3 linked regions of the Solanum lycopersicum genome follow. The protein of the gene in region 2 interacts with the protein of the main gene of each other region in a pairwise test. Links are inferred from orthologs where the notes say so. Each region holds a gene or a part of one and is shown on either strand. Other genes may lie near its edges. The genes, in order: fructose-bisphosphate aldolase 3, chloroplastic; ArcA2; chlorophyll a-b binding protein 8, chloroplastic-like.

Region 1 (10,642 bases), on a different chromosome or scaffold from region 2:
CTAAACATTACTTGCTTACGAAGTTGTTGATAAGCTACTAACTTTTTATTGTAATGGAGAATGGGCTACTACTTTCAACAACACAATAACCACCGCGTGAAAGAAGCGGAAGTATGAAAGAATGGAACTTCTTTTTATAAATAAAAAATAATGGAAACATGACTTCCTATCAGAGTATAGAGATTCCACATGCACAATAACTGAACTCATACAATGGACAAATAATTACCTCTGGTTGTGTTTCAACATTCACATGCTTCTCACACCGCACTCCACGGAAGAACAGCTCTCCACCCGAGAATTGCTTACCCAAGCACACATTTAAAGTCACTTCTGAATCATCGACATGGAAACCTGAAAAATAAGTTGTTTAGAAGCAAGGCAGTAACTCAAACAACCAAATAAGTTTTGCGGCACTGGAGCAATAGTTTGCACCATATAATTACTAAATAGAAACAACTCACCCAAGTCAACATCTCTGTCCATTCCATACTCAACAACAAAGCCATGATGGGAATCAAGTGTGGATCCACCAACTTCAGTAAAGAAAACTGCACACAAAATTCAAAGTAGAATATCAAAAGAGATCCAGGTAATCTTCTCACTAAGCTCCTCTTTGTTTTCTTTGCTGCATCCTAATAAAAATATACAAGTTCTTACCTCTCGAAATGGGACGAATGAAATCTTCCATCAACTTCTCCAGCATGGCGTCAAGGCCAAAGTCATCAAGAACGGCACCAAATCTGTTCATCGTATTGGGACGCATTATTCTGAATTTCGTCTCACGGACCCACCTCTCAAAGTTTTCTACCTAATCAATTAGAGCCTGATAAGAAAACAGAAAAGATAAACTACAAAAAAGGAAGTAGATTGCCTGCAAATACAAGCAGCAAGGCAGCTAATACCTCAGCCAACAACATCTCACAAAATCGTGGTTGAAGCATTTCGAACGTAAAAACTCCAGGAGAGGGTTCAGACATTATGTTCCTGAAACTTTCCTCTGAGTTCTCACTAATTGCCTTGAGAAATGATGGCACAAAGAAATTTTGAGCATGCATCGTATATAATTCCCTGTGTAGAGGCTAGAATAGAAGGCAAGCAAATTAGAAAAAGAAGGCGATCAACCCTGCAAGTATATTTTTGAGCCGAAATATAGTTTAAGGGTATATAAGCTATTTCGTATAGTTTAACGGTAGTTTTGACCTTTTTCTGTATTTACAATTATCATTAAAATATTAACCCCAAATCCCTTCAGCAAAATGTAAATACCTGATAGTTTGATATAATCTTCTGTCTGTATTCTCTATGCTTCTGGACCTGTTAAAGCAGAGGAGATGAAACAATATAATATTGATAGAGTTACGAAAGAGAGAGTGTGAATTTCACAAATAGCAGGGAAATTTTTTGGAAACCAAGAACAGTCAGAGAAGACTTTATCAGCAGACAGCATTCCAAATAATTCGCATGTAAACAAGGCTTTCACTAGGAGACTGGGATGGTTTGCTCAACTATTCCACCACATTATAAACAATAACCAGGTAGGTTTAACTTACATTATCAGTTCTTTTAAACCAAAATTTTGGTTGTTCATATATTCATCTATACTGGGGTCACATCTCCCCTGAATTATTCAAAAGAAAAAAGCAAAATGCTGTGTCCAACAAGAAAAAAGCTTAGTATGTAGAACACGACAAAAGGGACACAACATTATAGTCATCATAAGATAGAAATTATATATCTAGTCACTGCATTTTTAATCAGGATCCAATCCATCTGAAAAGCCTTCAAATCATTAGCAACTGGCTTATATATGTTTCAAAAAAAAAATCTACTCTCATTATATGCCCACAAAAAAAATAGAGAACTTCTTTTTTTATTTTTTATGGTGTAATATTGGTCAGAGATAAGCTTGAATTGAAAGATATAGTAAGGATTCATCTTGTCAAACCCAACTTCTTGCCTTCTTGGGGTTGAAGATAGTAGTAGTTGTTGAAGTAAACAGCTACTCAGTTTTGCAATAAAATTGTAACCCTTTCAAAATGTTCATTGTACTCAAATTCAAAGTAGATTGGACCTTAAGCTTACAAATCTCTTTTCCCTTTGAAAAAGTAATAATTGCATTGAATTTGTGGAAAATATTTTTGTGATCCTAGTGTGTATTTAGAAAAAAGTAAAGAACTACACCAAAGAAAGGTTCTCTACAAATAACAGCAATCGTCTACGCTAACTATCAATGGTGAGTGCTTCAAAACTTCATGAGAAACAAACAACATCCCATATTTGTACAGAAATATTTCCCATCCAGTTAAAAGATTTACTATTTTTTTAATTCACTTCAGATAGTCTTTTAAATTTTTACTTCTCAAACTATACAAAAGATAAATCAAAATCCAAAAAATAGCATAAACACTTCTGCAGAACACAAGATCAACTGATAGTTAAAGGCGGACACTATGTTTTCCAAGTTATTCACTACTAATCCTGAGTATCTAACAGCAACTTGCATAAGGCAGTTACAAGCAATACAACGCCTGAAAAATTTCCAGTAATAACCAACCAAAAGTCCCAGAAATTTTCATCTTTTTAACTTCTTTTCGTTATTGTTAGCATAACAGCATTCTATCACATCTCAATTCACAACTCTGCACATAATTGAGCTCAAAAAACTCCCTTTGCCATTTTTCTAGCACTAACTAACAAAGGATTTTCATGTACTCAAATTAGAAACAAGCACTAGAAAACCGGAATCCACATTGAAAATAACTGTACCTAGAGGGTACAGCAAACTCAAATAAAGGAAAAATACATGCTAAATCTTATAATGCAAAGCCCACAATTTTCCAGCTTCTCAACAGTCTATCACAGGTCAATTCACAGCCTCACATTCTAACCTAATCAAAATAATCAAACAGTGCAGAAAAAAACAATGAAGCCTAATACATAGAAAAAATTGCAATCCAAAGCACAAAAAAAATCTATCTTCTAATTTATTTCCATTTTCAGCTTCAGTGTTCTATCACAGCTCAATTCATATGATATGTACACTAATCAAACTGTGCTAAACTACATGCAACATTTTGCAATACACCTCCCAAATGTTTTACATTTTCAGCTTCTTAGCATTCTATCTCAGCTCAGTGCCCAGAAAACTAGGATGCTAAATACATTGCAGTACAAATCCCCACTTTTATTTCATTTCCAGCTTCTTAGCATTCTATCATAGCTCAATTCACACACAAGCTTACATCGTATATACACACTCATCAAAATGCACATAAAAATAAGGACTCGACACATGCAAAACTCAAAATGCAGAAATGAAAATTCGATAACTTACACGAGTGCGTTCGCCTTCAGGAAAGTAACGGAGGAGAATTTCACGCATGAAATGAACCTTCTGGTCACGTGATGAGTTGAGAAGAGCAGGCGGAAGATAACGTTCAAGGGAACTAAACAACAACGGACTGAAATCCAATTGAAGGTCATCATAGTTATCCGGTTTGTGATCAACACTAGGGTTCAATCGCAGCCGGTGAGAAGCGTACGGTGGGTAAACAACACCGTTTGATCCATTCCGAACACAATTCCCCATGCCATTTCCGGTAGAGTTTGTTGATTGACCATCCTTCTTCCAATCCATAGCTGTTGCTCCATCTTGAGACATTGATTCAGTTCAACAATTTTTGATTCAGATTCTGAATTTTGGGATTTGCAGGAAGAATTTTGAATGTTATAGGATCATTCTATCAAATGGAGATTAGGGTTTTTTTTTTCAGCTGAGATTTTGCTGAGGGTGATGAAGATCTTTTTAGGGTTTAGATTTGTCAATTCTTAAACATTTTTTATTTTGTTAATTTATTTTATCTGTTTTTCTAATTTTATTTTTTAGATAATTAGAATATGTAACTTTAAGGCCAGTTCAAAACCGATAATTCGAATAGAAAATAGGTTATATAGTTAATGATTTTAATAACGATTTTAATGATTTGAGATATTTTCTTAAAAAGTTACTTAAGTGAACTCAATCGTAAATTAAAAAATTATTATTATACTCTATATATTTTCAAACGAATAACTCACTTTCCTTTTTCGTTTGTTTAAAAAAAACGATATTTTTTTTAGTAATATTTTAATTTCAGTTTTCCACGTGACATGTTTAAAGTCACGGGATTAAAAAGTTGTAATTTTGTATATTTGACATGACTTTTATTTAAGATCACAAGATTTAAAAGTTTTAATATATATTTCTAAACTCCGTGTTAAGTCAAACTAAATCACTCTTTTTGAAACGGAAGGAGTATCATTTTTCACATATATAGCGTGGACTTAGGGTTTAGTTTCATACTCCTTCCATTCCATATTTATTGAATTGTCGAGGTGTTTCATATCCTTTTAAGAAAAATATATTAAAATATAAATTGGACATAGTTTTTCGTTTTTACCCTTATTAGTTATTTGTCAAATATATTGAAGTCATCAAATTAAAAATTCAAATGAAGGGTAAAATTAGAACATTCTAAAAGTAGTTTTGTAAACTTAATAATTTTGGAAAATGAAAAATGTCTCAAAAATTCACTGAATATGGAATGGGTGTAGTTTATTTCGTTGTGTCAAACTCTTAATTATTCTATAAATGTGATAACCTTTGCTTTTGAACAAAAATGCAATGCACGATCCATTTGGTTTGTCCCCTTCTTCTAACATTTTATATATAAAAAAATGTCAAATCTTAACATTTAAATTGTTAATGATCAATAACCGATAAAACAGTAATTAATAAATCAATTAATTTAATTTATAAACCTACCAATAAATCAATTCGATATTTTAAAATCAAACCGAACCAATCAATATTCATCCATTCACAAAATATATTTGGGTTAAGTAACATTTTTCATCTACACCAAAACCTTTCAAATCATAAAAACATACAAAATAAATTCCACATTCATTTTATTGCGTAAAAAATTTAATCTAATTATTTCATTTTCATTTTAATCTAATTATAAAAATATATATTACCTAATAACATAAGGCTCGAATTCGAAATCTCGAGTTTTCTTATTATTCATTTGGTATCTCCGTAGCTTGAATTGTCCATACTGTTTACTAGCGGACTCTTCGAGGACACCAAATAACAAAAAAATAAGCACACACACTGTTAGCCGTCGCTACCAACCCACCAAACTTTCATTTTCTATATATTGTTTCAACAGCGACGTTTTATACTCAAAAAGCTCAATTTCTTTTGTAGAGAGAGAGAAAAAAGAGGCGATTTTCAGGAGAAAAAAATGGCGAGTTCTAGTTTGGTGAAGCTCAACGCATCGTCATCTTCATGGATCGGTCAACAATCGTTCAATCAACGGTCTGGATCTTCCTGCCGGTTGCCTGTTTCGAATCGCCGTGTTTCAGTCATCCGTGCTGCTGGATCTTACACCGATGAGCTCATCAAAACCGCTGTAACACTCTCTCTCTCTCTGTTTATCTATATATGTATATATGTATGTGTGTTTGCGTTTCTCACTTTTATGTGTTTGCATGGTTTATGATCGGATCTATAAGTTTTCTTTTCCGGTGTAACTTGATTTGTTTTATATTTTTCGTTTGGATAATGTATTTTTTGTATTGAATTCCGCTGTAATACTGGAATTTTTTGCAACTGCGCTGCCTTGGTTCGTTGGATTGGTTGAAATTGGAAAGGTTTAGTTTGGTCAACTTTTTGTTTATTTAGATTTTTATGCTGATGTTGATATGTTTGGCTGTAGTATCAGTTGGATCTAGTAGCTTCTTTTTAGTTTAGATCATGCATTTTAAGTTGAATTTTTGGTTAGAAAATGTGTGCTAATTTACTGAATTTTGAAAGTTTGCTGCTGTTGGTTCAGTAGGTTGATGGAAGTTTAAGAGGTTTGCTTTTTGGTCAGAATTGTTGTGTTGGTATTGTTTATAGTGATGCTGATAAAGTTGGCTGTAGTTATAAACAGCTAAAACAGCTACATGGTTCATTCTAATTTTACAACAACTACAACATGTTAACATACCAGTGTAGTCCTGCAAGTGGGGCATGGGGAGGGTAGTGTGTACAGTGACCTTACCCCCTAATTTAAGAAGGACTTCAAAATCTTAAATTTAGGTTGATGACTTGAAAATTTGTTTCCCAGAGCTACATGAAAGTGATATCTCTCCCAGGCACACACACTTCATTTGTTTGCATGTTTTCTGATTGGATTTAATATCTTGGATTCGCTGGATTAGGAAAATGTTTAGTTGGTAAACTTTGTTTTTATATGTTGATGTTGATATGTTCAGCTGTATCTATAAATTGGTTCTCTTGCATGAAGTAACAACTACATTGTATCCACCCGCTTATAACTCACCTTTGCTTAACATTCTTGTAAACTTGGAGAATGCAGGGTAAAAGATGTTCTGCAAAATGTAATAATGCTGAACATTTGTCTATTGCTTACTTGATGTAGAAAACTATTGCTTCTCCTGGAAGGGGCATCCTTGCCATTGATGAATCGAATGCAACTGCCGGAAAGAGACTGGCGTCAATTGGTCTGGACAACACAGAAGCAAACAGACAAGCTTACCGTCAACTCTTGTTGACCACTCCTGGCCTAGGTGATTACATCTCTGGATCCATTCTATTCGAAGAGACACTTTTCCAGTCCACTACCGATGGGAAGAAGTTTGTTGATGTCTTGCGCGATCAGAAGATTGTACCTGGAATCAAAGTTGACAAGGTGTCCTTTTTAACTTGTTTCTATGCCTTGTGTAACTTCTTCTGTGCTTTAGGATTTTGCTGCTACCTTTCTTAAACTTTTGTTGCAAATATTTTTGTTGGTGAACTTCGTGCAATTTAACAGTTCTTTTTTTACTTACAGGGTTTGGTTCCCCTACCAGGATCCAACAATGAATCCTGGTGCCAAGGATTGGATGGATTGGCTTCTAGGTCTGCTGAATACTACAAGCAAGGGGCACGTTTTGCCAAGTGGTATGTTGTGACCTTGCACTTTTCTACTGCTATTCCTCTCTCATGTTTTCTCTTATTCTTTCCTCGGAAGATCAAAGTGCATTTAACTTTTCTGAAGAGTTATGGAACATAAATGGCATGCGGCTTCAAAATTTTCAGGAGAACAGTTGTTAGCATTCCTTGCGGTCCTTCTGCTTTGGCTGTAAAAGAAGCAGCTTGGGGTCTTGCTCGATATGCTGCTATATCTCAGGTAACTTTTAGGACTTTTTCTATCTTTCCGAAGTTGTACTAGAAAATGTGAGATAATTAAGTCAACAGACCCACCCCCTTAGTTGGTTGAACTTGTTTTTGGATATCCTCCGATCTTCAGAATTGGAGGATAATTTTTAAGAATCTGCATGATCTGGGGAACAATGGAAGTTTGTCTTTCTATTTATGGATGGTTAAAGATCATTTTTTTTCCTACAGGACAATGGTTTAGTGCCAATAGTAGAGCCTGAGATTCTTTTGGATGGTGACCACCCAATAGAACGAACCCTTGAAGTTGCGGAACGTGTTTGGGCAGAAGTCTTCTACTACCTAGCAGAAAACAATGTCGTTTTTGAAGGTATTTTGCTCAAACCTAGCATGGTTACTCCTGGTGCTGAACACAAAGAGAAGGCTACCCCAGAAACCATTGCTAAATACACACTTACCATGTTGAGGAGAAGAGTTCCTCCTGCAGTTCCTGGAATCATGGTACGACTTACTTTCTTCAATTCGCTCATTTGTTTCTCATTTGATCAAAATTATCCATAGAAAGATTAGACTTTATAGAAACTACACTCTTGGACCTTATTTCTTTGAAAAACTATAGTTAAGTTGCTACTTTCTTTCTCTTTCTCTTTTTCTTGTTCAACTGTGCTAAAAATCGTGTTTTTCTACTTATCAGTTTCTGTCCGGAGGACAATCTGAAGTGGAAGCGACACTCAACCTCCACGAAATGAACCAGAGCCCCAACCCATGGCATGTATCTTTCTCATATGCAAGAGCACTCCAGAACACAGTGCTCAAGACATGGCAAGGACGTCCTGAGAATGTGGATGCTGCACAGAGGGCACTCTTGATTCGTGCAAAAGCAAACTCCTTGGCTCAGCTCGGAAAATACTCCGCAGAAGGTGAAAGTGAGGAAGCCAAGAAGGGAATGTTTGTCAAGGGCTACACCTACTAAGCACACTTTGCTTTGATGCGACTTTCTTTTTGTGTATTTTTCAGTTTTTGTTGTTTGCTAGATTCGAATGCTGAAGAGAGAACTAATTGCTCTTTCTTCTTTTTTGATCTTACATTAGTACTGTACTTCACTAATAAGCTATGAGGGGTGATTCGTCGAAATACAATCCCAGAAAATGCTCGGTTGTGTAGAAAATCTTGTATAATTATATTGAGAACTTCTTAAAACGGGTAATATTTTCCATGTCTCCATTTGCTCTTCATAGTTTAAATTCCTCTTTGTTAGCCAGAATCTTTTTTCAGAACAAAACTAATTTGCTTTGAGAATTTGCAATGAGTATGATTATTTGTTGCGTTCTTATCTTAGTTCTGGGGGTACGACTTGTGAAAGCATAGTTTTAGTATGAATTTGAGGTGTTATGGGGATACTTCATTTGGTACAGCAACCATGGCTGAACTTTAAATTACAAATATTTAAACCATATTGTGGTTAACCAGTGTGTATTATACCCCCTTTGACATTTCATACAACATTTGTCCAAATAAAAATACAGTCTAATGTAAAGTATTGGGTCCATACAAAAGAAACTGCCTCTACTCCATCAACAAGATTGAACTCTGCAAAAACAAAACCGAACTTAGCTATATATATCTGCTTTGGGAAGCCTTCTTGGCGGGCTTAGCTCGTTTTTAGATTGTTGTTTTTCTTGATTGAGATATGACAGCTGAGAATGATGGACTAATCTGAATGTAATGCCGCCCCCTTCCTATAACCTGATCAACAAAAGAGAGTTGATTAGAAATAAACCAAATACATAAAGTCAATAAGTTTAGTAAGACACAGAAAAAGCTTTGGCAATATTGTAGGAATTGAGATCACACGGGACTCAAGTTTCTGATGATAAGAACTAAGAATAGTTTTTCGATAACCACTTCTTGTGAGGCTAAAAGGATGCTGCCATGTAAGAAACTATGGTCAATGTTGCTCGGACTCTCCAAAAGGATCCAACACTCACTCTTGCATTTTTGGAGAGTGTGAGCATATAGGCTGTAGTAGTTTCCTGGCTTCAATCATATTCTTGACCATCATCTCCTGAAAGGCTTCTTAACTATTAGCTACTGTTAAAAACTGTGAATCGCTGGAACAGAACTACATTCCATGTTTCCAAATACTTAATGGAAGAATAGAAAGAGTAATTGAGTAATGAGTAAGGACCATGGTCTATACACTTTAGAGAAGAGGCTTTAAGAACACTAAATAGGATAACTCCAAAGAATAGGTGGAAAGAAGGTGAATCTAAGTGAAGGCAAATTCAAGAATAGATTGCGTACAGTTTCTATCTCATAATCCTAAAAAAGGCACTCCTTATTACTTAAGCCAAGGTCTCTCGGAAACAACTCTCTACCTCCACAAGATAGGGGTAAGTCTGCGTACACTCAATCCTCCCATACCCCACCTGTGGGATTACACTGAGAATTCCAGTTTTCAGCATAAACAATTTCTACTCTAATAAATTATATATATGACATGTGGGCCATGAGCCAACAAGAAATTAACAGAAGTTCTCTTACCTAACCCAGCTTTGGGAGGAAGTCTGTTAAAAAACTTCCAAGTGAACAAAAGCTTAAGAGAGGCGAAGGAATTTTCTAAGCAACCCTATAAACTTAAAATTTAACAGCTGAGGGAGGAGTGTAGATGTTGGAGTAAATATCTTTAAACTCTTGTTGGAAAGAATGGGATCAGTTAGACTCACAAAATCCAAATAACACGCACAATTATATGATAATCCATAGCAAAATGGCAAAGTGGGAATGGTTAGGATCTCAGGAGCAATGTTTCAAAGGAAAATGGAGGAAATGGATCACTTCAGTTGTAAATGGGATAGAGTTACCGAAGACCTTAATTGTTTTCACATGACCCATTTTCCATTTAAGACACTTATGGAAACCTTCTCTACCAACTAAGATGCAATTTCCAGGTAGAAAGGACTTAAATTTATGATATTTTCCATTTACTGCTAGAAAGAAGAGAGCCATCTCTAGAAAAGAAGAGAGCCATCTCTAGACCAGATACTCAACTTAATTTTTTAAAGATGAGTAAAATTAAAGAGACCTTTTCTTTGTTTATCCTCTCCCCGGTTGAGTTGGTTTACAGGTCAAGAAAAAGAATAATCTTCATATCAACTTTGTGGAAAATGTAGCTCAGAAGAATATGAACCAAGACGGTAAATGAGAGTGGGAAGTAAATAGACTCAATGAAAGCAAATTTATGTTCTTCGGATACTGCAACCAAGATCAGGTCCCTCTTATACATGTTCTATATAGTACTTATATATGGACCCTAGAAAGGGCATCTCAACAAAGAATGAACAAGCATGGGATAGAGGATCCCTTTCAAAGACCACAGTAAGTATAAAAATGAGTTCAACACGTTAATCATTCAAAAGGATAGATGGAGAT
Region 2 (10,224 bases):
CCTTCTCAAGGAAAAACGAACAGAAACTCTTCCTTAATTAAATAACTTATAAGTCACACAAATATCTAAGATTTATTTTAGACTACAAGTTCCAAACGTCTTCATCTTTACTTAAAATTTGTGTCAAGTCAAATGGGGGTGGGGGTAATAAATTTGTTACTTTATACAAAACAAACAATTATATACACAACGTGCATAAGCAAACAATACAAGTCCAAGCATCATGAGAAAAAATCCATCTTAAAAGTTGAAGGATCTTCAACTCATCTTCTATCCCTCTCATTCAACTCTCTATAAGCTATAATTTTTCTAATTTTGTCTACATGTATGACCTTATATTCAATTGTATTTGTACAACATTTATCAAGGGTATGATGCGCCTTACATTCACTCTCATGCAATATTGTTGGTCTCAAAACCATTTTGAAGAGATCTTTTATAAGGACCATATTGTAGAATATATTTTTAACTTAGTAGGTATCTTCTCATCACATAGAACTCTAAGAATATTCTTGATTTTAAAAAAATAAAGGAATTACTAAAAGAGTTGAGAATTGTTGTCAACAATATGCCGCAGATTAATTAAAGCTCTGCAAGATACATTATCAATACATAGCAAAGAGATTCATTAACCGTCTGACTAATTCATTTTCACACAGAATATCCAATATACAACCACATAGATGTGGGGAATCAAATCATCTAGAGGCAATACTTATAACTTCAACAGATTCTAGATAGAACAATCAATACAAATGCAAGATATAATCATACTCATGTCAAGTAAAAAGAGGCAGTTCTTACAAGTTGAATAGAGCTTCCAAGGCCACGCGCAGTATCAATATAAAGATGTCTCCCTAATATATTGACTTGAACTCTAATGTATAAGCTTAGCATTGTGGTCGCCCAAAGAGACAACACAATTCTGGTAAAATCTGGATAGGCACGAGATACAACATCATAAGCTAACACCACTACAGAATACTAAAGCAAACTATATGGGTGCATAAGTCCATACTTGAAATTTTAAGTCTGTCCCACAGCTCCAGCTTCTCCGCAGCAGTTAGAGAATTTGGTTCGTCTTTCCCTTTCATCAGCCTCTCCATCAAGTGTGTGAGGTCCAAGTCTTCTTCTATTCGACTACTTAAATGTCGCATTACATGGGGCAATGTCGTTGAATCGGCGATTGTCTGAATTTTCCCGAAGTGTTCCTTGATCCTACAGATGAGAGACAAATAACTCTGAGCATAATATCATATCATCCACCAAACATGATGAAAAGGAAAGAGTACACCTTTACAGGAAAATAAACATTAAAAAGAGAAAATCTTTACTGGGATCTAATGAGTTCATCATTTCTCTTCTCATCTGCAAGTTCCCTCTCAAGATCAGAGAGTCGCCGCTTGTGTCCTTCATACAGCTTATACAAAAGGTAGCCACTTCCAAGAACTCCAAATGTAACATATACCTTCCTCTTATGCCTTCTCCAAAATTCCCTGACCCAATAAAACCAGCGTCAGAAAAGGACAAAACCCTGAAACAACAATACCACAACAGTTGCCTCTTCTAATCAATCAAATTACCTACCACTACACACTCTCAAATCATACATCTCACATGAACAACCAATTTGCAATTACAAAATACTTCTCAAAAAACAGCACAAAAAAAAAAGGAATCTTGAACTGCGACAAAGCAAAAGGTATAGAACAAAAGCTTCACTGCACGTACAATTTCATACCCAAATTGATATTTTACTTGTAAAAAGTGAGGGATAGAATTTACAAACCACATCCAATCCAAATACAAGTTGCTCAGGTTATTGTGTGTTTATGTCGCCGGACGCCGGCCTGGATTTTGGCCGGAATTTTAATTTACTTTCCCGGCAATATCGTCGGAGGCTACCGTGGAAGAATTGCTTTAGGTAGTGATGGCCACTTCCGACTTTGAACCTTGCAATTACTAAAAGTAGATGTGCTGGTTTATTTTAGACATTCAATAAAAATTATATAATATGATTGACATTAATATTATATTATTCTATACAAGGAATTGCAATAATTACATACACTGTCCCTCAAGTTTCTCTAGATTCCGCTTATCCCCAGGGTCACGTTTGCAGCCCTAAAACCATGAATAAACTTCCGTCTTTTTTAATCACGAAATCTTTAGTTAAAGATAAAAAGACGTATAATAAACCTTAGTTTCTCTTATAATTTGTTATTGTTAGATTTGTATTTTTAAAGTCAATTTCCTTTATCAATTAGATTCGTGTACATTAGATTTTTTTAAATATATCATGTTCAAAATAATAATATAAAAAAGTATAATTTTAATTTTTAAACCTCGAACCAATTAAAACAGAAAGAAGTCACATTTATATACCTACCAATTGTTTTTTAGTTTCTCACTAAAAACTCAAGTATTCCCATGAATTTATAATTAAAGTCAAGTTCTTCCATTATTCATTCTTAATTGGAATCATTTCTATTTGGAATTGTTAAGACTAGTTACCTTAATTTTCATATGTCCTGATGCATACGTAACACGTATCACAATTCAAAAATTAAGATCACGATGGACACACTCTCAGAACCCTAAAATTGATGTTTAAGTCGAAAAAACAACACATTGGATACTTCTACAAGAAAGTCACCAAATATAGAGATCCAAAAAACAAGGTCTAACCCCTACTTTTGTTATCTCATCCTAGCTAAGCTAATCTTCGTAGTGGTTTTAAAAATCATTTCCCATTATTCTTTTGGTTAAAAAAATAATTAGATGAAGAAAATGTTCCTTGTTTCAAGAAGAGACAAACAAATACGAAAATCATATAGCAGATGAGAAACATCTCATTTTTGTCGATATATATGATTTCTGTAACCTAATCTAACCCTTGCATATGACATTATTACAGTTTGAATCAATTTTTCTATCAAACCATGAGCACCAGTCAATTGTGTATGAACAAACCAAACAACACACAATAATGCATGAAAAAATAATGGACAAAGCATATCCATCAATACTTTCGTGCTCAAATGGTCTCGAAAATAATACCAATGACAAAACCAATTTAGGTTCCCCTTCACGATAACTTGAAGTTTTCACAACTTCACATTCTATGCTGCTTAACTGAAAAACTTGTAAAACCTAGGAAAAGAGAGGGTAACAATAACTTCACTAGTAGGACAATGAATATGAATTCAAAAAGGTGACTTGCAGGTTCTTATCCAACCATGTATTAGGTCAAAGCATTGAAAACATAACCAGCCCGGGAGGAATAACAGCAACACAAGCTTGTAACGAAATTCTAAACAGAATTCCAAAAATGGAACATCAAAACTCTCAAACTCATGAGAAACAAAGAGAATCCAGATACATTTTCAAGGACAATCTAAACGTCTTTAATGGAGACTATAGCCAAAAAGCTTGCCTAGATGCAATTCCTAGTAACGCCCAATACCCCAAACCCTAATCAAACCATCTGTATATCCGCTGAAAAGTGTGCTTCCATCAGCACTCCAACTCAAACTGGTACAGTAAATGACCTGCCAAAAGGATTCAGCAATATTAGCAAAATGTTAATTGGTAACAAGACGTTACAACCGTGGATATATCAAGAAATCAATACAAAAGTAACATAACTACACTTCTACATTGTTTGTGATATACTGAATTGCTGAACATGTAACCTCTAAATATACTAAAGCAACCTAAATAAGCATTGGAGTAAGAAGCTGTACAAAACACAAAAGAACCCAAATTTACATTCATATTATCCCGCAAAATGAAAAATTGACGGGGCGATCAATAGTTCATATCATAAAGAGCTATCCAAAATCATTAAAAGCATCAAGGACGTAGTCTCGGGGAATGGTCCAAGGTTGCTCATTTCCTATTCAAGTAAAGCAACATGGCAACAAGAAAACTGGAATAATCTAAGAGAAGCCTTAAGAGTCAATCAACAATAAGCTGCTGATGAATTTCGTATTTGAAGCATTGACCCAAAACCAAATTTATCATCCTAATGCTATGCAATTATAAAATTGTAGCTGTTAATCTACACACCTACGCTAATTGGAGGCAAATGTGAATTTATTGAATATGTTAATCATCTTACCCTACATACAATAATAAATTTCCAAGCATTCATAATAGAATTATGTTCACACAACAGAAGAATATTATGCAACCATGAACAAGTAAATGCATAATAAAAATACCTTGGTTTTTGGTGCAGTTCCACTCTCGTTAGCCATCTCACTCTCATGCTTGAGATCAACTTTAAGGTCAACCACGATGCTCTTGCTCTCCAAGTCCCAAATCTTAATGCTAGACTCGGTGGCTGCGCAGAGCCAGTACCTGTTAGGACTAAAGCAGAGAGTATGAATGATGGAGCCAGCGTCAAGGGAGTAGAGCTTCTTCCCCTCAGCCAAATCCCAGAGCAAAATAACTCCATCCTTGCCACCACTAGCGCACAAGGAACCATCAGGTGACACTGCCACAGTGTTCACATAGCCAGAGTGTCCAGCAAGAGTCGAACGCAGCTTACAGTTGGTGAGGTTCCAGATTTTCACAGTACGATCCCAGGAACCAGAAACAATAGTTGGCTGGAGAGTGTTTGGGCTGAAACGCACACACGAAACCCAATCGGAGTGTGAGTCTCCGTCCTGAATGGTGTATTTACACTCACCGAGAGTGTTCCACAACTTGATAGACTTGTCCCGTGAAGCGGACACAATCTGACGGTTATCAACGGAAAAAGCAACGGAGAGAACATCCTTAGTGTGACCAACAAAACGGCGAGCAGTAGTGCCGGCTTGAAGATCCCAAAGGCGAAGCTCTCCATCCCAAGAACCAGAGAGAGCAAACATACCGTCGGAGGAGAGAACAACATCCTGAACAAAGTGGCCGTGGCCTGTGAGACGGCGGCGGGGGACACCGTACTGTGCGCCATCCTTGGTGAGAGACCAGACAATGATGGACTTGTCCCTGGAGGAAGTAACAATCATGTCAGAGTTATCAATTGGGGTGGCGATGGCAGTGACCCAATCGGTGTGGGCTTTCATGGTGCCGCGAAGGACAAGTGATTCTTGCGCCATTTTGTCAAGCAAGGTGGTCGCCGCTCCGGTTATCCTCTGAAAGGCAAGTGAGACGACGATACAGCAGTGAAGAGAAACCCTAACCTTTCACAGGTGAGAATTTATAGTATGTCTTTATAGTATGTCTCAATTTTAGGGTTTTTGCGAGAAATGTTGAGGGTTACAGGTCCATTAGGCAAATTGGGTCATGTTACTGGGCCTGCATGGGATATATCCATTTCAAGGGTGAGGGGTAATTAGCTTCACCACTTTATCGAGCCGAGTTTGGTAGATGGGACAAGCATAAATAGTTTGCGTAATATTATTTCATTGTTAATTAATAATTTCAACATAAATTATGTCGGAGTTAGTAATTATCATAGGATTAGTTATTTTTAATAAAAATTGAAATAATAGGACCAGAATAAGTATACCACAACAATAATAATATATCTAGTAAATTTTTACAAGTGGAATTGAGAAGGTTAAGATATACTTCTACCTAATGAATGTGAAGAGGTTGTTACCAAAATAATTTTTCGAAACAAGTGTAAATTTAAGTATGAGATGGAAAAATGGCAGCAGAAAACTAACAAGTAATTAGTGAAAAAGGTAACATCACTGATAGTGTGATAAGCAAGATACAACAAACAATATGATAGATATCTGTTGTTCCAAGAATAGGGCTAATACCACGACAGGCAACAGGGCTAATTGTCAATAAAAATGAAAGTGTATCATATCATGACTAACAATCTCTCTCCAATGCTTATTCGGCCTATCATAAGTTTACAGTCTCTCCTCGTACCCAGTATATCTAACTTCTCACACCTACTCACACGGCATTTGCATTTCAACCGAATAACCAACCTAACCAGCCTCAAATTATTTGAATTACAGCCATGCAAGGCAAGACCCACACAAGCGGCCTCAACTAGTTTAAGTAAGTATGTAAGTAAGAACCAGCTAACGCTGACTGGGGAAAGAAAGACAATACGTTAATGGCATAGTTTTAGTAGTATGCAATTATATTCTTTGTATGTGTATATTTATACTTAATATACACACAAAAATCCCTACACTTGCTATTTTTCTAAACTTATCACCAAAAGTTATAGAACTATAATTATCCATTAAAACTAGTACTTAAAAAATGAAACCAACCAAAGGATTACGCATTAAGATCATAACAAAATACGCATGTATGTCAAACCAAAATTGTAACTATATGGTAATAGTATGCTATAGATTACAAAAACATTCATCGCAGTGCGAAGAGGTAACAAAATTCTACAGTAATATTGACAAGGGACAAAAGTGCTGATGCAGTACCCCCAAGGCCCGAACCACGTCTTCAGAGCTCTCCCAATAGTATTAGAAAGAATGGCTTCTGAATTTGAAGAACAAAAATACATTAGAGCAATTTATAACTCATGCATCCAGCGGGAAATAGAGAAAACTTTCCCAATCGTGATCGCCTATACAAGTGAACCTCATTAGGTTTCCCCCAGCAACCTGAAATTTTTTGTGCAATGTAGATGTATGCATCCAAGATGAAGATAGGATGAATCAGTTTTGGCCCATACCATAGCTTCAGAGAATAATATGCAGCCTTGGAAATCTATAAAAAGAAATTAGTGTCGCTCCCTTTTCAATCTGCCCACAAAGAGAGAGAGAAGCATGTCATCCCCTACTTCAGTACACTCCCTTTTCTTCACTCTGCCAATGAAAGAAGAGAGGGGCATGTCATCCTCTACTTTAGTCCCTGATGTCTGATTGGAACTGGTGCATTCTTGTTTACTTCTCTTCTCCATCCCATCATGACCACCAGATATACAAGATCTGCTACAGTGATCTCCAGACATAGCTTTACTTGGAGCTTTGCCCGAATGCAACCTGGCAACCTTAGTAGAAGACGATGAACTTACCTTTGCTCGCAATTTACAGACAAAAGAAGCAAGGGTCATGCCGTCATCTGCTGTTTGCGGCAGATAATCTAAGGAAGACTTGACATTATTCTCCAATTGATTGCATTTATTAAGCTTGTGACAAACAGAAGCTCCACAATCCTCACCTTCCCGAGTGCCAGGTGTCGCAGAAGCTTCGAACTGACTAGCATTTTCATCAGTGCACACAACAGCATTTCTTTGAAGAAGTAAAGAGTAATCCTGGAACCCTGTTGCAGAGGCATTTTCATTCTCACCAACATTAAGATCAGCTGTCCCTTCATCCAAGTGTGGATGTGCCAATGGATGACCTTGAGGGCTAATACAGGGATCATCATATTCACTTGCGGAATTGCATTTATCCATAACATTCTTGGCCTTCCTGCTGTCTTGAACAAGTGACTCAGCCTCTTCAACAACTGCCATTGACGAAGACAGATTTGGCAAAGATGATGAACTCTCTCTACTCTTTGGCTTCACTAACGAACTGGCTCTCCTCCTCCTCTTGCAGATATTGCCATCTGCAGTAGTAGATTCAACCATACTGGAAGCAGAGGGGACAGTTCTACTCTTTTTCTTCACCAGTGAACTGGTACTCCTCCTCCTCCTTTTGCAGATATTGCCATCTGCAATAGTAGAATCAGTGGAAGCAGAAGCCTCTGGAACCTTATCATTTGGTGTAGATTTTTTTGTCTTTCTACGACGCAGTTTAGACGGTCTTTTATTCTTCATTGCATCATTACAACCCTGGTCTCTAGAAGGTAACAAACTGCTTTTTAAAAGATGAGAAGACTCTGGACCTTCACTCCCCTCAGCATGTGGCTTCTCCATTTCAGACATTGTATCACACCTAGGAGCCATATCATCCTTTGTTGCTCTGGGCCTACAAACAAAAACTTAAACAATCAGAAAGCAACCTAGCAGCTAAAAACGCACCCCTTCCACAAAAACTTGTGTAGTCATGACCAGACAACTATTTCCTACACAAATAGCAGTTCGTGAAAGAATCTTAGCATCCACCTAAGACCTTAAGACTATGAGTGGAGCTGCCCAGGACTATATTGGCCCCCATGAAACCCTTACATAAATGATGAGGAACAAGTTTATTCTCTAACCCTCCAGCATACATAACTTGCATCTTGAGTTTGAGAAGATTGGAAGTGTGAACTTAATGTCGGGAGAGACATTAGGCTCAACATGCTGGAAAGTGGGCCTGGGGCTGAGAGGAGAGCAAGCTCAAGAGGCTGAAAATTGGGCCTTGATCTGAGAGGAGAGTAGGCTCAACATGCGAAGGAGTGGGTTTAAAGTTCAGAGCATTTTAAAGGACTAAGCTGGGCGAAAGAAGCCCAGAGCAATAAAACATGATGAATGTTATTGTGCAAATGGGTACATCAAAGTTTGGCTTTGATACCATGTGAAAGAATCTAAATGTCCAACCCAAGTCTCTACAAGATGCTGGAAAGTGGGCCTGGGGCTGAGAGGAGAGCAGGCTCAAGAGGCTGAAAATTGGGCCTTGATCTGAGAGGAGAGTAGGCTCAACATGCGAAGGAGTGGGTTTAAAGTTCAGAGCATTTTAAAGGACTAAGCTGGGCGAAAGAAGCCCAGAGCAATAAAATATGATGAATGTTATTGTGCAAATGGATACATCAAAGTTTGGCTTTGATACCATGTGAAAGAATCTAAATGTCCAACCCAAGTTTCTACAAGATGGAGCGGGGTAGGACTTTATATACTCCTATGGATGCCCTAATGAAAAATCGAGTGTCAATGACCTTAATGATTGTTTCAGAAGAGTATGTTTTACACCAATACTAGCTTGACAACTCAAAGCAAGGTAGACACCCATCCCTCTTTTTTACATTGATAAACAAATGGCCCACCAAACAAGGACAGATTACGCAGTAGCAGCCAGTTCAAGGATGGGAAACTTCCCTTCTTTTACTTTTAAGTAGGACCCTCTCCTTGTTACAAGTTTATTCTCTTACACTTCATTTAACAATTACTCCAGCGCTCCACAATAAATGATTTTTTAAAATTTAAAAAAAAAAGATGTATAATTATTTTCCTTCCAAATTGGTTAACTGATAAATTATATGATCAAATTTCTAAAAGGTCTCTCAATACTTCTTTATACTTCTCCGTGAATTGATTAGGGTAATTTAGTCAAATAACCTCATTATTAATATTTATTAGGTGGTACTTAATAGATGTGCCAAAATCCCAAAAAAAATATTTATTGTGGAACAGAGGGAGTAATATATAATTTGATCAGTGATCACAATTCACAAAGATTGCTCTAAGCAGCATTTTAGCAGATCCCAGGTCAAATGGTAGACCAAATAAGTTGCAATAACATCTATAATCAGATGGGATAATCCGTCCCAAGTGGCCATTTAAAATTTTAAAGAATCATTACCTATCATCTCCCTCCGCTGCTACCAGCCCCAAGAAAAAAAGAATATTTCTTTTGGGCAGCGGGGGAGAAATAAACTATAGCATGCACAAACTAATTTGAGATTGAGATACAGTTGCTTCATTGATTGAAGCAAGAGTAGGGAGCTATACAACGTAAATGACAATACAGCATCAGCCTGCCACAACTAGAAGGAATTCATCCAAAGGGAAGATAGTTTCAAATTTCTCCTCTTTGAATAGGGAGTAACAGTGAATTAAATAAGCACAACACATGTAGGAAAAATATCTGGAGCACAGTTATTGAATGCATACCGTAGTTTCCTCTTTTTATTCACAGAAGTAGTTTCACGTCCAGCTCTAGAACTAAGTTTCTGTGTCGGAACTATGTCATTGGGTCTAAGGGCAGGTCTTTCATCCTCCCTGTCAACGAAGTTGGAAATAAAAGCTTCTCGTCGTATCTTTTTAGCTTCTTTCAGCATAGAAACTTCATCTGGAAATAGCACAATCCATCTCCTGTACTTCAGAAGAAATGAATAAGAAACAAATCTGGATAACACCTAGCATATATTCTAATATGCACAATTAACGAGAGATAATATTGACCTCCCACCGTACAGGGAAAATACACATATAAGACAGGAGCTGGATCGCCCAAATAAAAATGCTACAAGGAACCCACCCCACCCTCACCCACCCAGGTTAGACCATAATAACAAAACATTCATACCTGCGACATTGATTGTCAGTCCGTGGAGGAATGCATGCAGCAACTTTGGACC
Region 3 (10,071 bases), on a different chromosome or scaffold from region 2:
AATCAAAGACTAACAGACCAGTAAAATCTGATTTATGATGCTTGTGCTCAGAAATAAACTGTTTGTTATACATCATTGTTCCTTTCTTTCTTTTCTTTTTCTTTTTCCTTTTTTGGGTTGAAGGTTGGGGTGGAATGTGGTTGGAGCATTATTATCTTGTAATCTAATAGTTTTTGTTTCTTTCTACTTAACAAGGATATGATATGTCTTATTCGTCATTTTTGTTTTACTTTAGTTGTCCTAAATCAACTGTTTGGCCCAGAAGATTATTCCAGCGCTTCAGTATGTTTCAGCAACGTCAGCATCAACCCCAATATGTTTGATCAATTATGAAGCGTGCATTCATCATGTTTCATCATCTTTTAAGGTTTTGTAAATTGACTAAATTCAAGTTCTAAGCAATTATGTTTTCCTTTACAGGCAGAGAGTTCTGGGAAGCCTCAGATTGCTGTAGAAAAAATGGTTGAAGGTCGTTTGCGCAAGTATTTTGAGGAAGTGGTTTTGATGGAGCAGAAATTTATTGTGAATGACACAATGAATGTGAAGGTAAGAAAGTAATCTTTTAGTTAGGATGCCATTTTGCTAGATTTCTGTTTCTACTCCCTTTCACTAGAAGGTCACTCTCTTGCCATAGTCCAAGGTCTGCTGATGCTTTAAGTGCAAAATGCAACTAAGTACATGCGTTTTAGTGACTAAAAATGCAGAATGAAGACAGATTATGTGTCTCTATGTATGTATACAAAATAGGAGAATAAAAATTACTATATTGAATAATGACTGAGCAGAGGAACTAAAAATATCCCCGTAGTCATAATTTTTGGCTGACACCTCTGAAAGCATAGTTCCTGCCTTCCTCCTCTCTTTGAGCTGGTCCATTTGTTGGGTGATCCACCTTTTTATGGAGTTTATCCAAGTTTAGGCGAACTTTCTGATACCAACTACAGAAAAAGAACACCACAACAAAACGACAAAATGAAGAAGAATGAATTGAAGGCATCAGAGGAAGCACTGACGGACTTGTTACTTGTGTTGCAGTCAATTAAAATACAATAGCATGTCAGTTATCTCAAGGAACCATATAAGATTAAGCCGAAGAACCATCTTAAAATTTTGATTCAGATGCTAATATACAGTTTTAATTTCGAACTCAGATTTATCTGGTTTTCTTATACTAAAGTTCAGAAATTGTCTGTTTATATACTAAGATGTTCATCCATAATTTTCTCCTACTGCTCCACAGCTTTAATAGGTATCAGTAGAGTTATAGGCCTCAATCTCTTAGGGGTCGTTGGTAGCGTGTATTAGCAAAAATAATGCATTTATTAAATGTGTATTAGTAATACCTTGTTTGGTACACTTTTTCATGCTATGCATAACTAATGCAAGTATTTGTTATACACTCTATTGTGTATGAAGGTTTATTACTAATATCATGAATTTTTAGGTATTAGTAATGCAAAGGATTTTAATGCATGCATTAGCATGGTTAAGAACCCATTGCCCCTCAACTTTTTTTACATATTTTTCACCATAATTGTGAAGGGTATCTTTGTAAATAAATATTTTTATGCAATGCATGCTATTTTTAATAAATCAAACCAAACAATGCATGTGAAATAATCATGTATAATTAATGCAAACATTACTAATACACTCTAATTAGCATTATTCATATACACCCTACCAACCGACCCCTTATTTCTCTTACTCTTAAATCAACATGCTCTTCTTCTATATGACTATGCCCAGAATAGGGTCTTGAAGCTTGGTTTTGGATAGTTCTTGTTGGTCCTCTTTGTCACCCTTTTGCAATGCTTAGTTGGTTACCTATCACTTTGACTTATCCCTGCATATTTGTTTTTATTCCAGATTCTTTATCAGTTGAATTTATATTTCATACAAATTGTTTTGATGAATATGCAGCGAACATAGTAGCCTCATAGATGAACCTTTTTTTTTAATATAAAGAACAGGCATTTGATTGTTTTTTTTAAGCGCATGAGGCACTCAACCTGATCGAGATTTAGGGCTTTAGCTCTTCTTCGACAAGGTTCTTACATCTGTGGAACTAACAACTTAAACCAGTTTGTGTAATTTGTTTTTTTGGGAGCCCATCTTTTGAAAATTAAAGAGTTGTAAGCACTTTCACTGTTATTGGCCCAACTACTGTTGCACATATGGAGTTAATGGCTAGGCTGGAAGTTACAAACATACTTTTGTGCATATTCTCATCTCTTGTTTAATTTGTATCTTTTATGTTGTGTTGGGTCCTATCTAGATATATTTCTGTATAACATATGTTAGGAGATTTGTACAAGGTTCAAGTCTTAAATTAACATATCACCTTGAAGGAAGAAAGATAACTTGGTACCACCTGGCAATTGTCTGACTATTCCATTCCAAATGAAAGTAAATGCTTGTTATAAACATCAAATTACTTTTTTGCTGTGGATTTCTGAGGATGTTATTTTTTTTAGTTGGTTCCTAAATCATGTTTTAGATTCTACGACATTGCAGCTTCTAATTTGCATAGTTTCTTACATGTATTGCCTTCTCATATGTTGTTTATATAGATGACTAACTAGTTGACTCATCTATGAAAAACTTGCAGACATTGTTAAGCAATCTGTCCAAGGATGTTGGTTCACCAGTTAAGATAGGAAGCTTTCTAAGAATGGAAGTTGGCGAAGGACTTCAGCGGTAATTATACTCATATTTATGACCTGTAATTTTCTACTTTTCCTGGTTAAATTATGTCAGAAAAAGTTATCCTTGAATTTCCATCTTGAATTTAATGTCATGATTGTGAAACCTGCCAGTTCAAGCAGGAATATTATTTAAGCTTCAGAAAGTGGGTTTTTTTCTTCTGTTAATGAGTGTTTTCCTCCTTTCCTGCCACTAACTGCATATTTCACTTCAGCTTAGTTAGAATACATTCTTCTTTTACTTTCTAGTAAAATAATGATTTTGTTTCCGATTGCACGTTCATGCAGTCCATGAGTTGAACCAGTTCACCTAGAAAGAGATCCAACATAGAAAGAGATCCCGACAAAACAATGCTTATTTCTTGAAACTAACCAATATATGAGCTTACCACTGTCTAGCAGATGGCCATGGGGGCTTTAACAATATTTTTTGGATTTTTTTTCTTCATAATATCTACCGAATGGTTTAAAATAGTTTGCACTCGTGCCAAACACTAATTTGTCATTAGAAAGCTAAGCATCTATAAAAGCCAATTATCTGTTTTTCTTGAATGCTTGTCATTTTTGGCGAGGCATTGCACAAGCATTATACTAATAAAAATAACTCCAAAATGAAGTAACAAAACTTTTATTGTACTACTACTTCTTCACATTCTGTCGTAAGATGTCAGGAAAAGATGATAGATGGAAGAGTTCATCATGTTCTTTGAAGTAGCTAATTCAGAGCTGCATGTTCTTTGAAGTAGCTAATTCAGAGCTGCAAATGGGATGCCATTAGGCCATCACTACTTGCCTTGTCTTATAATTCATTTTTGCATTGTTTGACTCCTGTATTATTGGTTATAACCTTGCAGGCTTGAAGCATCAAATGAAAGTGAACCTTTGGCTAATGCTGCTTGATGAACAATTTATGTCAGGATCGTGAGAGAACTACCTAAGACACTGTACTTTAGGCCTCTACTTTCTAGTTTTTGATCTTCTGATTGTAGTCTTCATGGTGGCACTTCTGAACGTGATTCCATACGCTAGCTAAACTGAAGAGGTTTTGTATTACATTTTGAATCATAGCCAGTAATGTAAGAGAATAAGGTCTTCATTGCTCTAGTGTTTTGGTCTAGTGGTAAGAGAGCAACACTTGATGGTGGATTAGTTGCATGTCATGGGTTCGACAAAGCATGATATTAAGTTTAGAAGAGTGGAGAGGGGCAGTATCCACCGAGTTCCAAACTGCACGCCACTAGCCATTTTGGATTTCTTGGTCATCAAAAAGAAAGGAAATAGAATAAGGTCTTCACCGAGTTAATTTTGTTTGGTTGGTCAGACAGATTATTCTTCCATGATTGTTTATTTATAATGTCAAATGATGTCCTTGTTTTGTCTGTATTGTTTAGCGACTTCTTTTTCCCCTATGATGGAATACCTGTCAGATTTGGACACAACTGAGGATAGTAGACTGATAATTAAGAGGCCTGCACAAGTATGCTGTTTACTTATTACTGGTCTGACTATTCGTCATGGAAGTTACATCCCTTTGTGCTTTCATCCATGTTTCTCTGCTGCAAATTTAGTTTAACGTCTTTTAATGCTATGTTTAATCCAGTATTTGCTCTTTTTTTTGTCTTAGAGAATTGAGTTTACACATGATCCTAAAGAATGCTGCAGAAACTGCAGCAGGAAGCTAACAGCTAAAACTCAGGAAAAACAGGTTTTTGTTGACATGTCCTTTTTAGCTGATTACAATGATATGCAAAATAATATCTGCACATAATGTTTACATATCAGATCAGGGTAGCTAAAACAGGGTGATTTGCTCCTTGTTTAGTGGAACTTGAGGCTGGTCAAGACATTGTTGTTTGCAGGGTCAGCCAAATGGTCAAGGAGGTTTTGGTAAGGTCCAACTCCAGTTACCAAACCTTGAATGAAGTAACCTAAGATACCCAACATAGCTAGTCTTCCATTCTTAATCTCCTTTAGCTTTAAGTCCTTCATAGACTTCTCATCTTTTCCGAACCCGAGAGGGTTAAAGAAAGGTCCACCTGGGTATGCTGGGTCTCCAGAACCTCCCAAGCCTTTCTCTAGTCCCAAAAAGTATTGTTTACCCATAGAACCTGGCTTGGCCCAGTCCTGGAATCTTCTGTGTTCAGCAAATCCCATGAGTGCCATCTCCAGTACAAATAGTGTGTAGCCGTCTGCCCAATAGTTGTATGTTCCAGCTGGAGGAATCACTCCTGTTTGGAACCATGGAAGGGCCGTCTCTGGTGGGATGAGACCAGCCTTTCCAAGAATCTCGGGCGCAATGGCTCCTACTACTCCCAACATAGCAAATCTTCCATTGATGACCTCTCCATATGCTAGCCATTTTGGTTCAATGAAACCTCCAGTACCTTCAGGGTCTGACAGTCCCAGGGGATCAAATCCATAATCACCAGGAAGGCTGTGGATTACATACAAATGAAGTTCATTGAGTAATCAGACAAGTTGCATAGACAACATGCACAAGTTATGAAATAATGTATATAAGGGTTAAGTGAGAGTCCCATCAGTCTTACCTGCCATCTAAGTATGAAAGGCTCTGCTTGGAGGCAAACCAGAGAGGCCTATTTGCTCCTTGCTGTTCAACACAAAAATATATCAATACATAAAAATCAAATGTAACCCAATGGTGTAGCTTGACGGTAAATGAAGTGAGTTGAAAACCCCAGATTCTAGGCTTCAAATGAGAGGAGTGATGCCATATGCTTTCTTCTCTCATCTACCTAAGCTTTGAAGTACAAGTATCTGGTGGACTAGTCAAAACTCAAAAGGCAAAGCTGACTCAAATTCCACTGTTGTACACCATACACACACAAACCAAATGTAACCCATGGGTGTCCTAGTAGTAAATGAAGTGGGATGAAAACCTCAACACATGCAAACAATGCTATATGCTGATTCGAACTACACGACCATTGTATGTATATGTATGTCAATATTCTTGTTATTCACATAGGAAAGGAAGAAGAAAGGGGTGTTACCTTAACAGGTGGAGTGGCAGTAGCCCTTACAACAAAGGAAGCCTTCTTGATTTGAGATTGGAAAGGTCTTCCTCCTAGAATTTGTCTGGCAGCCTCTGTTGAGGATGCAATAGATGATGAAGAGATCAATGCCTGTGTTGCCATCTTTTGTTTTCTGATTAGAGCAATTGACTTGTGTTGAAGATGAACACACACTCAGCTTCCAAGAGTAGTAGACACAAGGTGGCAAGCAAAATAAGGGACAAAGGTATAGGCCAGCAAGTGTAGTGTGGGGCTAATGGAAAACAGAGAAGTTGTGGTGGACATAAGAAATCTTGAATTCTCAGATAAAGTTAAGGATTATATTGTCAAATGAAAAGAGCACATGTGGCATTATTACTTGGATAGAAGATTTTATACACTCCTAGTCTCATAAATGAATTTTCAGATACTCTAGTTGGCTGCAAATACTTGCTCTAGATTTTAATTTCATTTTTGGAATTCAAGTAAATGTAAATATCAATACTATTAAGTATTCCACACAAAAGAGGATTAAATATATGTTTTAAGTGTTGTTTTAAAGGTGGAGGGAGAGTTGAACTCTCACCAATAAGATAAAACGCCAGATAGTCAATCTACTAAGATCTCCATTGTCGAAGTATTGATGTGCCACCTACAATTTTTATTAGATTAAGACAATCAATTTGAATTTAAAAAGAAGAAAAAAAAAAAGACAAGTTAAGGCAAGAGGGTGGTCTTCAAAAGTTTCTACTAAATAATACTTTTGAGAAGTTTTACATTATGGATGTCAGTTTGGTATGGCAATTTTTTCACATATGGCTAAAATGTATTTGGAAGATGTTTTCCTTACAAAAATAAGTTTGTTAGAAAATAAAGATAAGGACTTAACTAATGAAAGAAAGGAAATTAAGTTTCTTCTAGTAACATTTCACGTTCATTGTCTCCTTTTTGTTTTTCTTACAAAAAAAAAGTTTGTTTGAAAATAAATATAAGTTAATGACTAATCTAATGAAAGAAAGGAAAATAAGTTCACAAGTGACATTTCACGTTCATCGTCTCATTTTTATCCATTCCAGTGTTTTTAAACGTGTTTGAGGTGAGTTTTTAGGCGGATTACATAAAGGGAAAAGGGTCAAAAATAACCCTGGACTATTAGAAAAGGTTTATAAATACTCCTCATTCACCTATTGGGTTAAAAATACCCCTTCATTCTCGTTTTTGGTCCATAATTACCCTTAAAACTAACAATTTTTTATTTTTTAATTATTATTATTATTATTAATTATTATGTGACATGTTTCTATTGGATAAATTTAAATTTCAACCCACCAAAACTTTTCTATCCATTTGACCCATATCCACATTTTTTTTTACCCAAATCAAATTAAAAATTCATCAAAAATAAAATATTTGAACATTTCTTCTCTACCATTCCAACCTAATAACTTACTCTCTTTCTCATCACCATATACAACCTCAATCAATGATAACTACTGAATTTAATGCTAATTAGAACTAAAAAGCTCTTCTTGATTTTGTTAGAATTTCGTCAATGCTATCATTAAAATACAATCAAATAAAACTTTTTTGTGTAACTCCACTATGTAAAATAAAATCTTTGAAAAGAGTGAACCAAAAGGAAGAAATAAGAAGACCCAATTCAGGTTTTCTCAATGCGACCATGAAAACACAATTAATAACAACTCATTTAGTGTAACTCAACCATGAAAATTGAATCTTTTGAAAAGGGTGTAAACCAAAAGGGGAAGAAAGAAACGAGACCAAGTCAAATTATATCAATTCCACTATTAAATCACGATTAAGAAGAGCTATCTAGTGTAATTTCTCCTTAAAAAAATTGAATTCATGGTGTGAACCAAAAGGAAGAAACAAGAAAGATCAAATTCAAACACAATCAAGAAGAGCTTTTTAGTTATATTTGATATGACTAAATTCAAATATCATTATGTAAATTTCAAATTCAAATACTAATTGATTCAATCATTAATTTTATTTTGACATTGTTGAATAATTTTTTAATTGGGTTTGGGCCAAAGAATGTGGATATGGGTTAAATGGGTAGAAAAAATTTGGCGGGTTGAAATTTAAATTTATCCAATAAAAAGATGCCACATAATAATTAATAATAATAATAATAATTAAAAAAATAAAAGATTGTTAGTTTAAGGGTAATTGGGGACCAGAAAGGTGGATGAAACGGTATTTTTAACCTAGTAGGTGAATGAGAGGTATTTTTAAATTTTTTTGAATAGTTTAAGAGTTCCCTTACATAAAAAAACACTCTGGAGTAATAGAAGTCATACATTTTCGAACTTGAGGAGTAAGTTCTGGACGTAAAAGCGCAAGCCTCAAACGTTAAGTTTGACTTTTGTTATGGATCATGTTTTTTTTTTTTTTAAAAAAAAGAAATTACGGTGTAAGAATATTTAAAATCTAGCATAACCAAAGTGATTTTACTATAATTTTGAACTCTTTTATCTTCATTGGTTTATATAGTACTAGTACATGTATGTATAAATTTTATCAAGGTAAAAAGTTTATCACAAATATAATTAATTTTACAAAACTTTTAAAAAATCGACGTATCTTAGAAAAATGATTCTAATTATAAGTTTTTTTTTCTTGGAAGAAAAATAAACTTTTGAAGAAAACTACTACATTAAACTAATCCATTTGAAAATTACTTTTATCAATATTGAACCAACAATTTCTGGAAATTAATGAAGGGAAAATGGTTTGATATACCCCTTAACTTTGTCATTTGAAGATGATATATCCCTCGTTAGCTCATATATGTCCTTACCGTTATACAAAATGGCTCACATATACCCCTGCCATTACAAAATGGCTCACATATACTCTTCATTTAACGGAAGTTGAAAAATTAGTTTTAAATTTATATTTATTACTTCTAATTCTTTTAAAAAAATTATTTAGTGGTATATATGATTCTTTTATTAAAGTTCAAGGTATATTTTAATTTTTTTCATACATAAATTATTTTTTGAATTCTTTTATTATAATTATTTGAGTTTCTTATTCTTATTTTGTTTTTTTCTTTCATTCCTTAGTTTAAAAAAAAATTAAACTATTTTTTTGTGTGTGTATTGTAATTTAATTTCGTATTCGAAGAAAAAATTTGGTCATCTACAATAAGTTTTACAAGAATATTAGTGAAACAAAAATAAATTTGATTATCAAAATAATAATTATAAATTAGTCATTGAAACAAAAAAAGTCAAAAAAAAATATGTTTGACGATGATTAAATTTACTCATATGAGATTATATTTTTTAGAAAAAAATAATAAAAATTTAGATTAAAATTAATTTTTTTTTCATTTCCGTTAGAGGAAAAAGGTATATGTGAGTCATTTGTTTACAAGTAGGGGTATATATGAGCCACTTTCATAACAAGGGGTATATCAGCTCTAAATGACAAAGTTGAGAGGTATATCAGACCCTTTTCCCATTAATGGATAGTAATCTCCAACCATTCAAAAATACTTATTTTATTTCTAAAATATAGTCAAAACACCTTAAGTTTTCTAAATAAAAACTCCAAAAAGAACCCTTTTAACTTTCCAAAATCTTGACCAAACTCTTATAGTTTGACGGAAATAATCTCTTATTAAAAATTAAACAGATATTTTGTTCAGATCTTTTATATTTTATTTAAAAAATAAAAACTTTTTACGATTATAAAATCAAATCTCCGATATTCCGATAAAAATTGTATATCATAGCAAACTAATAATCTAAAATAAATGGAGTAGCTAGGGTTTGATTTAATTGTGCTTCATAGCAAACGTTTGCAAAAAATTGCCAGGCGCCTCTCTCCCAAATATCTCGCTCGCCACTCTCCTCCAGTCTCTCGCTCGCTTCCTCACTTTTTATACAAACACAAATGTATAAAAATTGTTTCTAATTGTATAAAGCAGAGAAAATTGTATAAATATATATTTTTTTATTCCCTTCTCTTCCCTCTTTCAGATCTCGTCCGCCACTCTCCCATATCTCGCTTGCCATTTTCGTCTTTCTCACTACAGAAGGGAAATCTATAAATTGCGTTTCTGTTTGTATAAAGCGTGAGAAAATTGTATATACGCATGCAAGTATATATATTTTCGTCCTATACACTTATAATTATACAATAAAAATACTTCCCTGCCCAGTTTCTTTTGCCTTTTTCTCTTTCTCGTTTTATACAATTTTCAAATTGTATCTAATTTCTCTCTTTCTCGTTTTATACAATTCGATTCAATTGTATATTCCTTGTCAAGTCTCTTTTGTCTTTCTCTCTTTCTCATTTTATACAAATTCAAATTGTAT

The links.
Region 1: the proteins of ArcA2 (region 2) and fructose-bisphosphate aldolase 3, chloroplastic interact in a two-hybrid assay, tested with the Arabidopsis thaliana proteins (2 studies listed by BioGRID, with this or other methods). The link is inferred for Solanum lycopersicum from reciprocal best matches to the Arabidopsis thaliana genes ATARCA and PDE345.
Region 3: the proteins of ArcA2 (region 2) and chlorophyll a-b binding protein 8, chloroplastic-like interact in a two-hybrid assay, tested with the Arabidopsis thaliana proteins (2 studies listed by BioGRID, with this or other methods). The link is inferred for Solanum lycopersicum from reciprocal best matches to the Arabidopsis thaliana genes ATARCA and LHCA3.

The regions. Positions count from the first base shown.
Region 1 is NC_090804.1:3,185,284-3,195,925, reverse strand, and holds fructose-bisphosphate aldolase 3, chloroplastic, read left to right. Parts: upstream 1-5,039; 5' UTR 5,040-5,291; coding exon 5,292-5,459; intron 5,460-6,473; coding exon 6,474-6,743; intron 6,744-6,884; coding exon 6,885-6,994; intron 6,995-7,132; coding exon 7,133-7,223; intron 7,224-7,441; coding exon 7,442-7,711; intron 7,712-7,904; coding exon 7,905-8,183; 3' UTR 8,184-8,417; downstream 8,418-10,642. Other genes in the region: 2-oxoglutarate and iron-dependent oxygenase domain-containing protein CP2, read right to left, coding at 230-354, 465-551, 661-811, 906-1,082, 1,270-1,317, 3,338-3,664. UniProt on the Arabidopsis thaliana protein: Plays a key role in glycolysis and gluconeogenesis.
Region 2 is NC_090802.1:64,605,903-64,616,126, forward strand, and holds ArcA2 (guanine nucleotide-binding protein subunit beta-like protein), read right to left. Parts: upstream 5,184-10,224; 5' UTR 5,106-5,183; coding exon 4,227-5,105; intron 3,552-4,226; coding exon 3,450-3,551; 3' UTR 3,203-3,449; downstream 1-3,202. Other genes in the region: peroxisome biogenesis protein 3-2, read right to left, coding at 805-935, 1,019-1,218, 1,335-1,496, 1,790-1,794; uncharacterized protein, read right to left, coding at 6,719-7,913, 9,758-9,958, 10,173-10,224. UniProt on the Arabidopsis thaliana protein: Major component of the RACK1 regulatory proteins that play a role in multiple signal transduction pathways. Involved in multiple hormone responses and developmental processes.
Region 3 is NC_090811.1:4,547,327-4,557,397, forward strand, and holds chlorophyll a-b binding protein 8, chloroplastic-like, read right to left. Parts: upstream 6,026-10,071; 5' UTR 5,864-6,025; coding exon 5,720-5,863; intron 5,317-5,719; coding exon 5,255-5,316; intron 5,140-5,254; coding exon 4,524-5,139; 3' UTR 4,398-4,523; downstream 1-4,397. Other genes in the region: ER49 (ethylene-responsive elongation factor EF-Ts precursor), read left to right, coding at 421-546, 2,612-2,700, 3,560-3,605. UniProt on the Arabidopsis thaliana protein: The light-harvesting complex (LHC) functions as a light receptor, it captures and delivers excitation energy to photosystems with which it is closely associated, here photosystem I.